Danio rerio: one gene and its partner. The protein of the gene in region 1 binds, or shares a complex with, the protein of each later gene. Links are inferred from orthologs where the notes say so. Each region holds a gene or a part of one and is shown on either strand. Other genes may lie near its edges.

Region 1 (6,891 bases):
ATACAGCGCAAGCGGTTATAAGTAACAAAACACAATTAAATACATGATTAGCAAGCTGGAGAAAACAAGGAGACAACCTTTCACTTACACTTATGAAATGTGTCACGGCCCAGGTCTGATTTCACTAATGATCTTTCATTTTGGAGCTTTTCTCCCTTCTCAGCTGTGACTTAGATCCTTTCTATTTGCAATCATTGCTGTGGCACCTCTTGCGTGAAGTGTCTATTTTTGTATTGCTGCCCATCTGACTCCCCGTCTCTATCCAGCCGGCCCTCACTCTTGCCGGCCTCCAAGCCTTAGGCTGCGTCCGAAACCACCTACTACCCAGTAGGTACTGCATTTGAACTTAATTGTACTACTCGGCCAATAGAAAAGTACGTTCTATACAGTATGAATGTGAAAAGTATGAATGGAATTCGGACGTACTACATCCCCCATTTTGTCATGGTCACGTGACCTACCTAGGTCAGTTGCGTCGCTTCACTTCCATTCATGAATTCTCTCGCGGGGCATTATGGGATAGCGCAGCCTGAATAAGATGCGCAGTCCAGAATCTCACCGGAAGTAGTAAGTCATCCGGGTACTTCTCGCATACTGTTTTTCGAATTCTATGAATTCGGACATACTACTTGGCTTACATACTGATTTTAGCGTACTATATAGTATGGAAGTATGCAGTTTCAGACTAAAGCCGCCTTTCCACTGCACATGACATTTGGACACGACTGTCGGAATACGCCCCCTTGTGGCAGCCGCACAGTATTTTCAGTGTTATCGTGCACCACGGGGGAGAAGCTGATTCTCACACGGTGTCCGAAATAAATAAGGGCAAAAGCAAGAGCCTTTATTCTTTATAAGTTTACATGGTTTAATAGATGAATGAATACTAGAAAGACATGGAGAAGACATTAAAAATGTATATTTTTATTACTTTCTTATTTGCATTTATGAACAGAAAAGTTTTTGTTTTAATATAGACTTTTTATAATTCGAAAAATAACCAAAAAAACTCCTCTAACGGATCCTCTAACGGATCTGTTTAGACAACAATGGAATACATCATATCCGGTCGGCAGGTCGCATGCGGTCTAGTCGCAGGAGTTCAAATATTTTGACGGATCCGCAGCTCAATTCGGATCCAAATTTTCCTCACACGGAGATGATCGTAACTCTACGCAGCTCCCTTACAGTTCTCCATTGGAAATGAATGACTTCCGGTCTGTCGCTTGTCGTTTGTCGTGTGCAGTGGAAAGGAGGCTTCAGCCTCATACTGCGTTCCCACCAGACGCGGAACACGCGTCAAGCGCGAGTGATTTACATGTTAAGTCAAAGCAAACGCGCGAATAGACATCCTGCGGCGCGATACACGCGAATGGCGCGGTGCGAATAGGAGTAGGAGTTTATGAGCTCACAGAGCTGGATGCACCTCTGAAAGGATGCAGTGGACTCAGACAGGACCCTAAACGTATCGACGCTGTTTTTCAGTCTCCATAAAGCACATTAACACTGTTATTTTCTTAATAAAATTCATGTTAGCCATTTAGCTATGAAGCTAGAGTCACCGGGCAGACAGAAGCCTTGCCCATCTTGCGTATCCGCGTCTGTTTTGAAGTGAATTTGACACGCGTTTGAAGCGGATTTGACGCTCCAATGAAGCGGGGGTTGACACGCGAATGAAGCGAGTAAACTCAAATGTTCACGCGGCTATTTACGCGCGAATAGCGCGATTTATCCGCGTGTACCACGTCTGGTGTGAACACAGCATCAGTCTTCCACGTGGCCGCTCTGTTCCAGACAGCGGAGGCCGGATTCACCGCCCCCTGTCGGGAATCAGGGTATTGCACCCTCTTGAAGACCGTTCCTCCAGCCTCTTCAGAGTAGTTTTATTTTCATAATTTTTGAAGTCTTTATTTGCTAACGTCTAAGTTTTTGAGTTTTTGTGAACTTTGGGCCTCTATGCCAGCTCCATTACGGAGTAATTTTTCGTTTCCTTTTTGAAGACTTTTATGTTGGCTAAATTTTGGCTTTAAAATAAATTAATTTATTTAATTAAATAAACTTTGTTGAGACCTGCACCTGTGTCTGACCAATTTTCTCTCTTATCTAGACCGTGACACCCTGTAGTATTTTCATGTGAATAACACTCCAGAAGTCTGTTTACAACATTGAGCAATCACTTTTAAGTGGTCAAAACACTCGCTATGAGGCGATACGGTGGAGCTTTTAACTTCCCCATCATCAAATCTCACTACAGCGAGTTCTTTGTGTTTCATGCAGTTTGAATGCCTTCAGATTAGTTTGTGTCAGGAAATTTAGTACATGTTTATCCACAGCTTATAAATGTCTGCGGTGTTTGTTTTTACTCGAGTCGCTTTACCAGCTAGCATGCTATTCATTAGCAGCCGAAGTGTGTTTTAACCATCTCCTCTTAAATCTTATGAAAAATGTCTCTTTTGGCTTTAGCTGTGTGTATATTTCCATTCATGCTGTGGTTTATTGGCGGCAGCAGTAACCACAGGCTGATCTCTAGCTCTCTCTCTCTCTCTGTGACCACACACACACACAAGTTCAGGCTCCTATTTAGCGGCTCAAAGTCAAGTCCATCATCTTGCGTTTGTTGAATGTGTCCAGAGCGACTGAACATGTGTGGTCTTCAGCGTCAATCGCTCTTTCAGCTCTAATTCTGTCTTATTTCTGTGCGCTCCAGCTATATTTATCCCACTACAGTGTGTCCCCTTGTACTGCCTCACAAACTGCTGTGTTAGGAGTCTTTTAAAATAGCAGATGTATAACTCTCTTGCTTTCTGTTTGTTTGTTTTTCAGAGTTTGTAAGTGACCTATAATGCAGTGAAGAGAGTATGGTGTTAGGAGCTGATCTGTATGCAGAGTGAAATCCGTCATGACTGTGAAGTCATTGCAACACCGCAGGTAATACAACTGACACAGGATGTATCAGCCATCAGAGAAAGCAAATAATCTTGTGAGAAACTCATACATGAATAGAACTCAACTCGATTTATTTTTAACGCACTTTTAGTGTCGAAGCAAAGTGTTGTACAGAAAAAAAGACAACAACAATGAGAAACAGACTCCGACCTAGGGCTGGGCGATTTTTTCGATTAATTCAAATTTACGTTTTGACGATGATTTTATTTTATATTAAATCGAGAATCGTGATTTTTCAAAAATATATTTAATACATTATAATGGCACCAATGCGCTTTGGTTCCTTCTCTGTATGAAGCAGGAAGCACACCAGAAGCGCCTCTCGGCGACACGCAGCACCACACAGCCCCATGGATTTTAGAATTCTAAACAGGTTTCTATACACACTGGAGCCGCCCAGCCATGATTCACAACGCATATCATATTTTAGCCACGCCACAGAGCGCCATCAGATTCGTTTCATGTTAAATATCATGCGAATGCGCACGTCTGGTGTGTTATAGTTTAAACTGTCATGTGCGCGCCGTGTGCGACCTGTTGACTGCCTGTTAAAGCGTGAAGTCATGTAGGATTTTAATCATTGCATTAGTCTGAGTTATGTCTGTGTGGATTGTCAAGACATATTCCCTCATCAAGTCGATAAACTCGATCTCAACATGTATGAAGCACTTAAAACCCTGCCATGTGAAAAACAGTGCCGATCTTTTGGTTTGAACACGAGTAGAGGTGAGGGCCTGTAGCAGAGAAAATGAAAGTACCCGCCCCCATGACGTCATTTAGCGGACCTAGTTCAGGGCTCGAAATTAACTTTTTTACTTGGTAGCACCGGTGCTTCCAACTTCAAAAATTTAGGAGCACCAGAAAAAATTTAGGAGCACCCACCAAAAATGATTGAGCACCGCTGCAAATTGTATTTTAAGGGATTTATTGTATTTTAAAACAACATCAATTAGGACTAAGAAAAACCAGAAACAACTATCTAACTAATGCTTAGATGACATTGATATTTGTGTGCAATAATTCCAAAATGAATGTCGAATAATTATAAAATATTAATGATAATGAAAATGACAATAATAGTAACAATGAATTACATTTGTTATCATCATGCGACCTTAAATGTGCTTGAATGAATTATGAAAAATAAATGTTTAGTTTGCATCAATTAAAAATGAAGCATTGCAGTAAAAAATATTTATTTTGTACTGCTGTTGATATATGCATGTCAGTTTGATAAATAATATTTCTGCTACAAAACAAACAAAAGATTATAATAAATCATTCAATTCAAGGCTGAAAGCTGCAAAGCAGTCATCAGTAACGTAATAAAAAATAATAATATACAGCTTAAGAAAGAATAGACAAAAGAAAGTAAGTAAAGTCTCACTTCTATCACTCTTTAAAAGTTTTGGTTTCAGTTTGTGTCAATTTAAATGTTCAGTCTGAGCTGATCTTCATTTTTCTGTGTTAGTGGAAAAGCAGGCGAGTCAGCCGACCCAATATATGAGCAGGTTGAGCAGGATTCTTGCGATGACCACTGGCGCAACCGCTGTTTGTTATGAGCCGCAGTTTCAGTGTAAACTTAGTAACGGCGATGATATTTTTTGTACAGTATTAGATTTGACTTTTACCGGACATTTGCGCTGAACACGCAGTGAAAGCAACGCATCGAGATTCAGGCTCCTTCTCCGAAAACACGTACTTGATTGATCTCAGCTGGCGGATCAATATTCACCACATGTCATGATCGCTCTCCTCTGCGCCTCAACTTTAGGTGGGGTTTGCAAACCTGTGTGCTTTAAGTTTACACTGTTTAGCCGTTTGCATTTCCCGTGTTCATAAAAGCTCCTTCCCTGTCATCTGACAGCGGAATACCTTGAGTGATTGACAGCTTATATAAACCAATATAGCGGCAAGGAAGAGCGATTCAGCACGTTTTTATAAAAATTCCAAACAGGTCGCACTACAACCATTATCTGTAGTCACACTAATGCTCCCATATATATTATGAGGTCGCATAGATTAATTTTTGGGCGCATATGCGACCAAAATGGTCGCAATTTCGAGCCCTGTAGTTGAAAACCAGACAGATCAGGCAGCATAATACAGAGAATGGAGCAAAGCGCATCAAATGATCGGTATTTAAAAGGGGGAACAATAAAAATTTATTAAATATGTTATTTTATATCAGACACATCTGGTACTTTTATTTGCTCCTGCTATACGTCCACAACTTCACACATTGGGTTAAATTAGGCTTTACAGTTTCCATGTTCAGTCCTTTTCTTCCACTGTATCTTTAAAAAAAAAAAGGCAGCAGCATTACAACCTGTCATTTAATCAGAAGACAAAATCAAAGCAGAGCTGACAGCCAATCTTTCCTAGGCTCAGCAAATCTTGCAAAAAATACCTCTGTATTCCTGCAACTGCAGTATTTACACAAATATTTCTTATTCAAATCTTCAGCAACGCTTTTTAACTCGTGAATTTGTTTTACATTTATTTACAATTTGACCGATTTTTTTTTTGTATGGCATGGCCATTAAAAATACAAAGTTCCTTAACCAGATGGTTTTTCATGTTACTTTTAAAGAGAATGTTACTTCAGTCATGTTGTTGTAATGTTTTGAGAAGACTAGTAACACAATAAAAAAATCGAAATCCTGAATCGACTTTATAAAAAACCTAGATTTTTTCTTTTTGCCAAATCGCCCAGGCCTACTCAGACCTAATGAAGTGCACTCTGTATTAAATCTAGTGTTAGAAGAAAGAAATATATCAGAATTATATACAGTGCTCAGCATACAGTTGAAGTCAGAATTATTAGCCCCCCTTTGAATTTTTTTTTTTTATCTGTCTGCTGCAGATTTTGAGTCATGGGTAATGCAGAGAGTCACAGCGGTGGCCATGGCTATTATGGAGACGGTCAGCGGCAACTGTCTCGAAAACACATGTCCCGCTCGCTCCGTCTGTCCAGCAAACAGACGTACTGCACCCGCAGGACGCCATCCGGAAAACCAGAACACCGCAACTCAGAGACCAGCACCCGCTCCAGCAGCACTCCCAGCATCCCTCAGTCCCTCGCCGACCATGGCCTGGAGCCCTTCAATGACTCTGACCTGCTGCCCGACTTCAGCAGCCCCATCTGGGTGGATCGCGTGGCAATGAATCTTCGGCCCATGTCCTTCCACAACCAGCCGCCCCATTCGCCAGCTGTCAAACCTCCAGAGGAAAATGCACAAGTCCAACACACACGGTAAGGCCGTGCAAGTCATTCACTGCAAAAAACAAAACACTTTCTTACTTCGTCTTGTTTCTAGTCCAAATAGTGAAAAATTCTTAAAGGTGCAGTATGAAAGTTTGACACCCAGTGGTTGAACTAGGTATTGCACTCCTGGTTCAAAACACATTTTCACTCAGCCCCTCCTCTGACGACTCCACGCGAGCGCAGGCTGCCAGATTGAGGACACCAATAGGAGCGTTCCTGTCTATCGAGCATACTCCGCTTCTTAAATCAACAGCGCGATAAAATAAATATTTTTCATATTAAAAGGAGTGTTTGTCCTTGAAATTTCTAATTTAGAAACAGCTTCTATTAATGTTAAAGAGGTTTAATATGTATTAATTCAATTATAAATCTTACCATATCGTTGGAGTGTAGTGAATGGATTATCTTGTGTTTCTGAAGGGCTGTATTTAAGGGTGCTTTAACGTCTGTAGTTCGCCTCATTTGGTCCGGACCAAGGGTAATAAATGATATATTGTTGCATCTTCTGCGACAATTTCGCAGACTTCATTAAAATAATTTTTGATTAAATAAATCAATTCTACCAATCAGGTCACTGAGAAAAAAACAAGGCCCATAGTGTGCCTAAAGCGCAATGCTTCATGGGTTTATCAATTTCATTGCAATCGTGACACACCAACCTTACTGGCCCAGTTCAG
Region 2 (6,102 bases), on another chromosome or scaffold:
TTTCAATATACCGGTAAAGTCGTTCCGGAAATTTTCCAGAAATTTACCGGTATCACTGTGTGAAAGGGGCTAATGTCAATCAAAGTGATTCTGCAGACTGTTTTTTATCAAGTGTGATTATAAAAACCAAAATGTCTAGATTTTTAGCATTAGAAGTTGGTTATATTCACAGGCTGTTGCCACACAACTTTGTTTAAACCCCTTATAAAAGTGATTTTTACATAACGGGTCCCCTTTAAAGCTCAAACAGCAACATCACGCACTAAAGACAGTTGAAAGTATATTATATGTGCACTTAAAAAAAATATCTATTGCCTTCATTAGTTATCCTAAACATAGAAAAAATGCAGGTTATAAACAATTTCGTAATGTAAACACATGTACATTTACACATGTAAATAGCCATATTTTACCTTCATGATAACTGAAGACCTCCATGCTGGGTTCGGTGTAAGGGTTATACGCAGGCTTAAAGCGCAATTTTGTAATTCCTGAAATAAAAAAATTGAAAATTATATGTCTGAATTAGGAAACACAGACATCCAACACTGAGCAATTCACCAGGTTTACTCTTCACAAAAAGGTTTCATTAGTTAAGCTAAGCATGTTAGCTATTGTATTTAGTAACATGAACAATGAATACTACATTACAGTATTTATTCATCTTTGTTAACGGAAATGAAAATGCATTCATTCAGCATTAGTGTTAACCGAATCAGTGCATGAACTAAAGTAAACAAGCATAACTTTGTGTTTTAATAACGAATTAGGAAATGATTTAATTGACATTATAATGAAGTATTGCTCATTTTCAGTTCATGTCAATAAACAACCATGCTTATAGTAAAACGTATAGTAAATATCATGACTTAGAAAATCAGGATGTCTTTCTAAAGAGCTATTAGTCATATTATTCTTAAAAAAAAACACAGTATTTGGGGTTTGTAAGACGACTGTCCTTCAATATAAACAGTCTGCAAAGTTGTGCAAAATGGTGTATGGTAAATAAAGGTATTGTTTTCCAAAAAAAGGCTCTGAAATGCCTTGACCCTTAAACACCTACAGCTATTTTGTTTAATATATATATATATATATAGATAGATATTATTGTAATGTCATATGTCATATATTATTTTAAACAGGAGAACCTGAAGCTTCAATCTGTATCATTTAAAGGTCCAGTCTAAAATATTTTTGGTCCAAAAACATATGAACAGACAGAAAATATTCCAGAAATTTAAGAAAAACGTTTTTTAAAAAAAGTGGCATTTTCTCTAGTAGGGAAAATACTACGGATGTAACTAATAAGTGAAACTAGTGAACTATATACTTGTTTAAATAGGATTTATACTTGTGTATCTTGTTTTAAAAGCGAGCAGTCTCATACCTAGTTTGGTGAAGAACTGGTGCAGGACGCCCATGAGGTTTCCCAGTGTGAGGCCATAATCGGCCACCACTCCTTCAATCTGGTGAAACTCCGCCAGGTGCGTAGCGTCCAGAGTCTCATTACGGAAAACTCTGTCAATGGAGAAGTACTTGACCGGTGTGAATTTCTCCTGAGAGGATGAAATGTGAAACAATTGGCCGTCAAACCAGTACTCAAGTGTGTTTGTGTGTACAGGATTTGTCGGTTTATGAGGACACAAATTTGTATGATCTCACAGGTATTACAATGACAAGGGGTTAATAAGGACATAACAGGTGTACTTCTAAGTCAAGACTGTTAAAAATCATATTTGGGGTCTTTTGACATTCAAAATTTAGCCACATGAGAGTTGGGTTGTAGTTGGATTTTGCAGTATAAACCCCCAAAACCAACATGTGTGTGTGTGTTTACCTGCTGTGCAAGTTTATACAGCATGCGAGCGCTGACCGCCGTGGTGTGTGTTCGCAAGAGGTTCTTCTGAGCTTCTTCAATCTTCCAGTCGTATTTGTATCTTAAAATTGATTCGAGATGTTAAAACTACAGACATAAATTTCTGTTTATAAGTTTAGGGTGTGTAAGATTTAAATTAAAGTCACTTTTTTTACTTGAAGTTAATTAATTAGTAAAAAAAATATTTTATATCACACATTTGGGGTTGGAGTGAGATTTATACATTACATGAAAGCTAAATAAATCAACTTTATTAGTATCTTTATTATTTAAATCTGGAATCTGAGGGTTCCAAAAAATCTAAATATTGAGAAAATCACCCCTGAAGTTGTCTAAATTAGGTTCTGAGCAATGCAATTTTAGTAATTAAAGATTAAGCTGTGATACATTTACGTTAGGAAATTTACTAAATGTCTTCATGGAACATGATCTTTACTAAATATTCAAATGATTTTTGCCTTTTTTCAATACTTTTTCCCCATCACTGTTCCTGGAGGCACACCAACAGTACATATTTTAGATGTCTCCCTAATCTGACCCATTCACTTCAGGTTTTGGAGTCTCTTCTAAAGTTCTTATGAGTTCATTCAGGTGTGTTTGATTAGAATGAGGTTGAAAATGTTTACTGTTGGTGTGCCTTCAGGAACAGGGTTGGGAAACACTGTAATATAGTTTTTCTATTTCCTACAAATAAACCAATAGGAAAAAAAACTTTTGTAACATTATAATTGACTTTACCATCACTTTTGATTATTTCTGGATATATAAACTGCTAAATACAAGCATCATTAATTGATTTTTTTACTTACTGACCCCCAGATAAACATTGCAAATCAGTAAATAACCCATAAGCATGGCTGCTCTTACCCCTGTGAGCCATAACCTCCTTCAGAATGAACTTTCTTCACTCTCTCCAGATAATCCCGAGGAAACTCATGAGCCAATGCTGGATCTGACAAACACAAACAACCCCTTCAACACCAGAAACACACACGTGCTCTCAATTAAACTCCAGCAGAGTGACGAACAGACTCTTAATTTCTCACCGGAGATGAAGAAGGTGTCGTGCTGGTCTCTGGCGGGATGCTGCTGTGGCTGAAACAGAGAGTCGAAGTTCCAGAAGGAGCTCTCGATGAAGTTATTAGTGGGCATTTCAGTGAATCTGTGAACAAGGGACAAAATACTCATGAATATACTTGTAATATGACTTGAAACCGACAAAAAAAAAAAAATGAATCAAAACATTGTTATAGAGGTAAATGATTAGCCTTCAGTGGTCTATTAGTTACCTCCAAACACCAAACCTTTACTTCGCTTCAGAACTTTCACTCACAAATTTGCACAAAGCTACTGCCTGCAGTGTATGTATTTTAACATGCTGGAATCATATTAGATAGTGGAAGCTGCCCTCGAGGAAATGTATAACCATTGCTCCCTAAGGGTGCTTTCACACCTGTGAATCGATTCAGTTGTTCCGAAACGGGGATTCAAATTGTTACATTGTTGCTCTTTGCACTTGGTGCGGTTCGCTTTCACACGGCAAAAGTTTCTAAATGGAAAAAAGTAGCTAAAACAAGTCACGTGTGTGTAACTCTCCTCACATTGGTCAGAGTGGTGGCTTGGTGGTGTTTGACAAGGTGTGCGCGACGTGTCTGAAGAGTGAGGAGGGATGCAGTGGGCAGGGGAGAGAAGGGTGCGTGACGTATTTGAGGACCGGCAGAGAGACGCATAATTTCTGGGAGATTATCACTTGTTTGCGGGCATCCAGGAGTCTCTGTTCATTTGCGGGAAACTCACAAAACTTCCAGGAGACTTGGGATGTCTGGAATGACCTCCCGCCCTACTCATAATTCTCTCTATATATAGCTGTATGCCTATTACATGTCCATAAAACACTGTGATATAACCGGGCTCGGATCGTATCGATTTCTTACTACAATCGATCAGCTCCTTTCAATCGAGCCGAGACCACCTCAATCAAGGGATCTTGAAGCGATTGTTTGTGGATTCACATATGCCAAACGAACTGCGCTAACGAAACGGGTTCCGAAACAAAAAGTCTAGGTGTGAAAGCACCCTAAGACACAATTCCTGGTATAATGTTAATGTTGTTTTCTTGTGTTTACATGGATGAATATGGTCAAAGTGTAAATGCACATTACAGTTACAATCTTATTGCCACATTAAATTGTTATGATAACATGATATTGTTGCCTTCGGTGATTTCCTGAAGATAAATACTAAAAATAAAGCAACTGGAATAACTACAGCAGTCGTCATCACTGATCTCATATGAAGGAAGAGATCTCAGTGACGTATAATAATGTGTGCAGGTGTTGTAGTAGTGCCATCTCATTTCTTAGAGGTACATTTGAAGCCCTTCCCCTTCACACTCTGTTTCAAAGGACAAGGGAAAGGGGTAGGGGTACAAACAAATAGAATTGGGATTGGGCCCAAATCCAGTATTCCTTGGAGTGTTGTGCGAGTATGAAGGACTGACCCCATCTCCAGGAAGATCTGCCTGAACTGCGTGCGGACCTTCATGAGCGGGTGCAGGTGACCACAGTCTGGAGCAACACCCATCGCTTCAAAGTTATATGGTTTGAACTTCTTCTCCTTCCAGTTCCCACTGAAACACGGAGCAGAAAAAACAAGACATTACGCACTATACCACAATATACAGAACATTTTTTATCCAGAAGTCTTTTTTTCACCTGAAAGAGCTTTTGACTTGGGTTCCAAAGTGACTTACATTTCAAATTAACATTCATATATACTTTGTTTTGATCACAACACAGGTTAGTGGGCTTGACAAACCACCTGCAGGACACACAATCACTTTCTTCCATATGCACCACACACTTTATTGTCCTTGTACACACTGTAACTTTATGCTGTGTTCACCCAAGATGCGGATGAAGCATCAAGCACGAGTGATTCACATATTAAGTCTACTCAAAATGCGAATGGATATCCTGCGGCGCGATCTGCGCAAATGAGGCGGTATGAATGCCACGATTCTCGCAAATGAAGTGGCGCAAGTTTTGACAAATCGTTTGAGTTGGACAATCTTCAGTGGACATTCGCACTGCGTTAACCAATCAGAAGCTTGCTCTTGTAGGAGCGCAATTATGACGGAACGCCTGTTGTTGGTGTCCCGAGGGGAAATCCTGCTGCCGACAATGGACAACAGTACATCAAACTGGGCTCGGCTCAGTCGAAAGCACCGCTGAGAGCCTCCATCATCCAGGTATAGTTTCTGCAGGAGTTGATGAACTGAGCTGGGTGCACAACTGACTCAGACACAGCGGCAAATTAATCGATGCTGTTGTTCAATCCTCCCAAAGTACATAAACGCAGTTATATTCTCAATAAAATCCATGTTAGCCATTTAGCAACTAAGCTAGAGTCACCGAGCAGACAAAAGCCCTGCCCATGATGCAAATCCGCATCTATTGTGAAGTGAATTTGATGCGAGAATAAAGCGTCTGATGTGAACACAGCATTATAGGTTCCATTTGCAGTGTTTTTGGAATGCTGTACTTAATGAAAGCGACTGGTCTCCCTCTCACCTGGCGATCATCTCCGGGGTCAGTTCGGTCTCCTGTTTGGTGATGGTGGTACTGAAGCTGTTGCCTTTAGTGATCCAGTAAGACTTCACCGTCCTGAAGCAAAACGCAGACAGCAGAGGTTAATGACATCACACATACATTTGAGGACAAAATTTGAGGACAAAAGTAAATTAACACATTTTTCCCCAATTATTTCCCAACTGCTGATTAATGGAGATTTTTGTCAGCACATTTTTGCATATAATAATTTTAATAACAAATTTCTTTCGTCTTTGTCATGATGAAAGTACATATTTTACAAGAAATTAGTACTTAGTCTAAAGCAGCGTTTCCCAAAAGGGGGGTCCCGGCCCACAAGGGGCCCTTAGCAACCTCTATATGGGAGGTCACATCATATTTTTAAAACATTTTTAGCAGTGGACAATTAGGAGAACGATCATGTTGCCTTAGTTCACTTTATCTCCTGGCTGACCAAAAAACAGACAAATCTCTAATTCGTCCTCCACATAAAAGACAGAGTCTCACTTATTCACCGTCAGCAGCTAAAACTAATGACCCAAGCATACTGAACCCAGGAGAGGAAGCTCCAAACATTTTGGGTCACATCACTAGCAATACTGAAAACCCCAAGATAGTTACCAGAACTATGGTTTT

Evidence for each region.
Region 2: the proteins of farsb (region 1) and farsa are in contact, whole or in part, in a crystal structure (PDB 3L4G), measured with the Homo sapiens proteins. The link is inferred for Danio rerio from reciprocal best matches to the Homo sapiens genes FARSB and FARSA. Residues at the interface, in NP_005678.3 of Homo sapiens: Glu26, Phe29, Gly32, Leu33, Pro68, Ala69, Asn70, Ile150, Arg152, Asp259, Thr261, Lys262, Arg305, Lys316, Lys317, Val318, Gly319, Ile359, His360, Cys362, Asp363, Glu366, Ala369, Ile370, Tyr374, Asn375, Ile377, Gln378, Met379, Thr380; in NP_004452.1 of Homo sapiens: Ser221, Gly222, His223, Leu224, His225, Leu227, Leu228, Arg231, Ser232, Arg235, Leu239, Gly242, Phe243, Thr244, Glu245, Pro247, Asp249, Asn250, Phe251, Ile252, Glu253, Ser254, Phe263, Gln266, Gln267, Phe277, Phe278, Leu279, Arg280, Asp281.

The regions. Positions count from the first base shown.
Region 1 is NC_133190.1:45,134,997-45,141,887, forward strand, and holds the start of farsb (phenylalanine--tRNA ligase beta subunit), read right to left. Parts: upstream 4,234-6,891; 5' UTR 3,755-4,233; intron 2,929-3,754; exon of another isoform or gene 2,824-2,928; intron 1-2,823.
Region 2 is NC_133178.1:12,427,573-12,433,674, reverse strand, and holds part of farsa (phenylalanine--tRNA ligase alpha subunit), read right to left. Parts: intron 5,542-6,102; coding exon 5,449-5,541; intron 4,506-5,448; coding exon 4,377-4,505; intron 3,039-4,376; coding exon 2,923-3,038; intron 2,829-2,922; coding exon 2,744-2,828; intron 1,938-2,743; coding exon 1,838-1,937; intron 1,557-1,837; coding exon 1,388-1,556; intron 492-1,387; coding exon 414-491; exon of another isoform or gene 48-413; intron 1-47.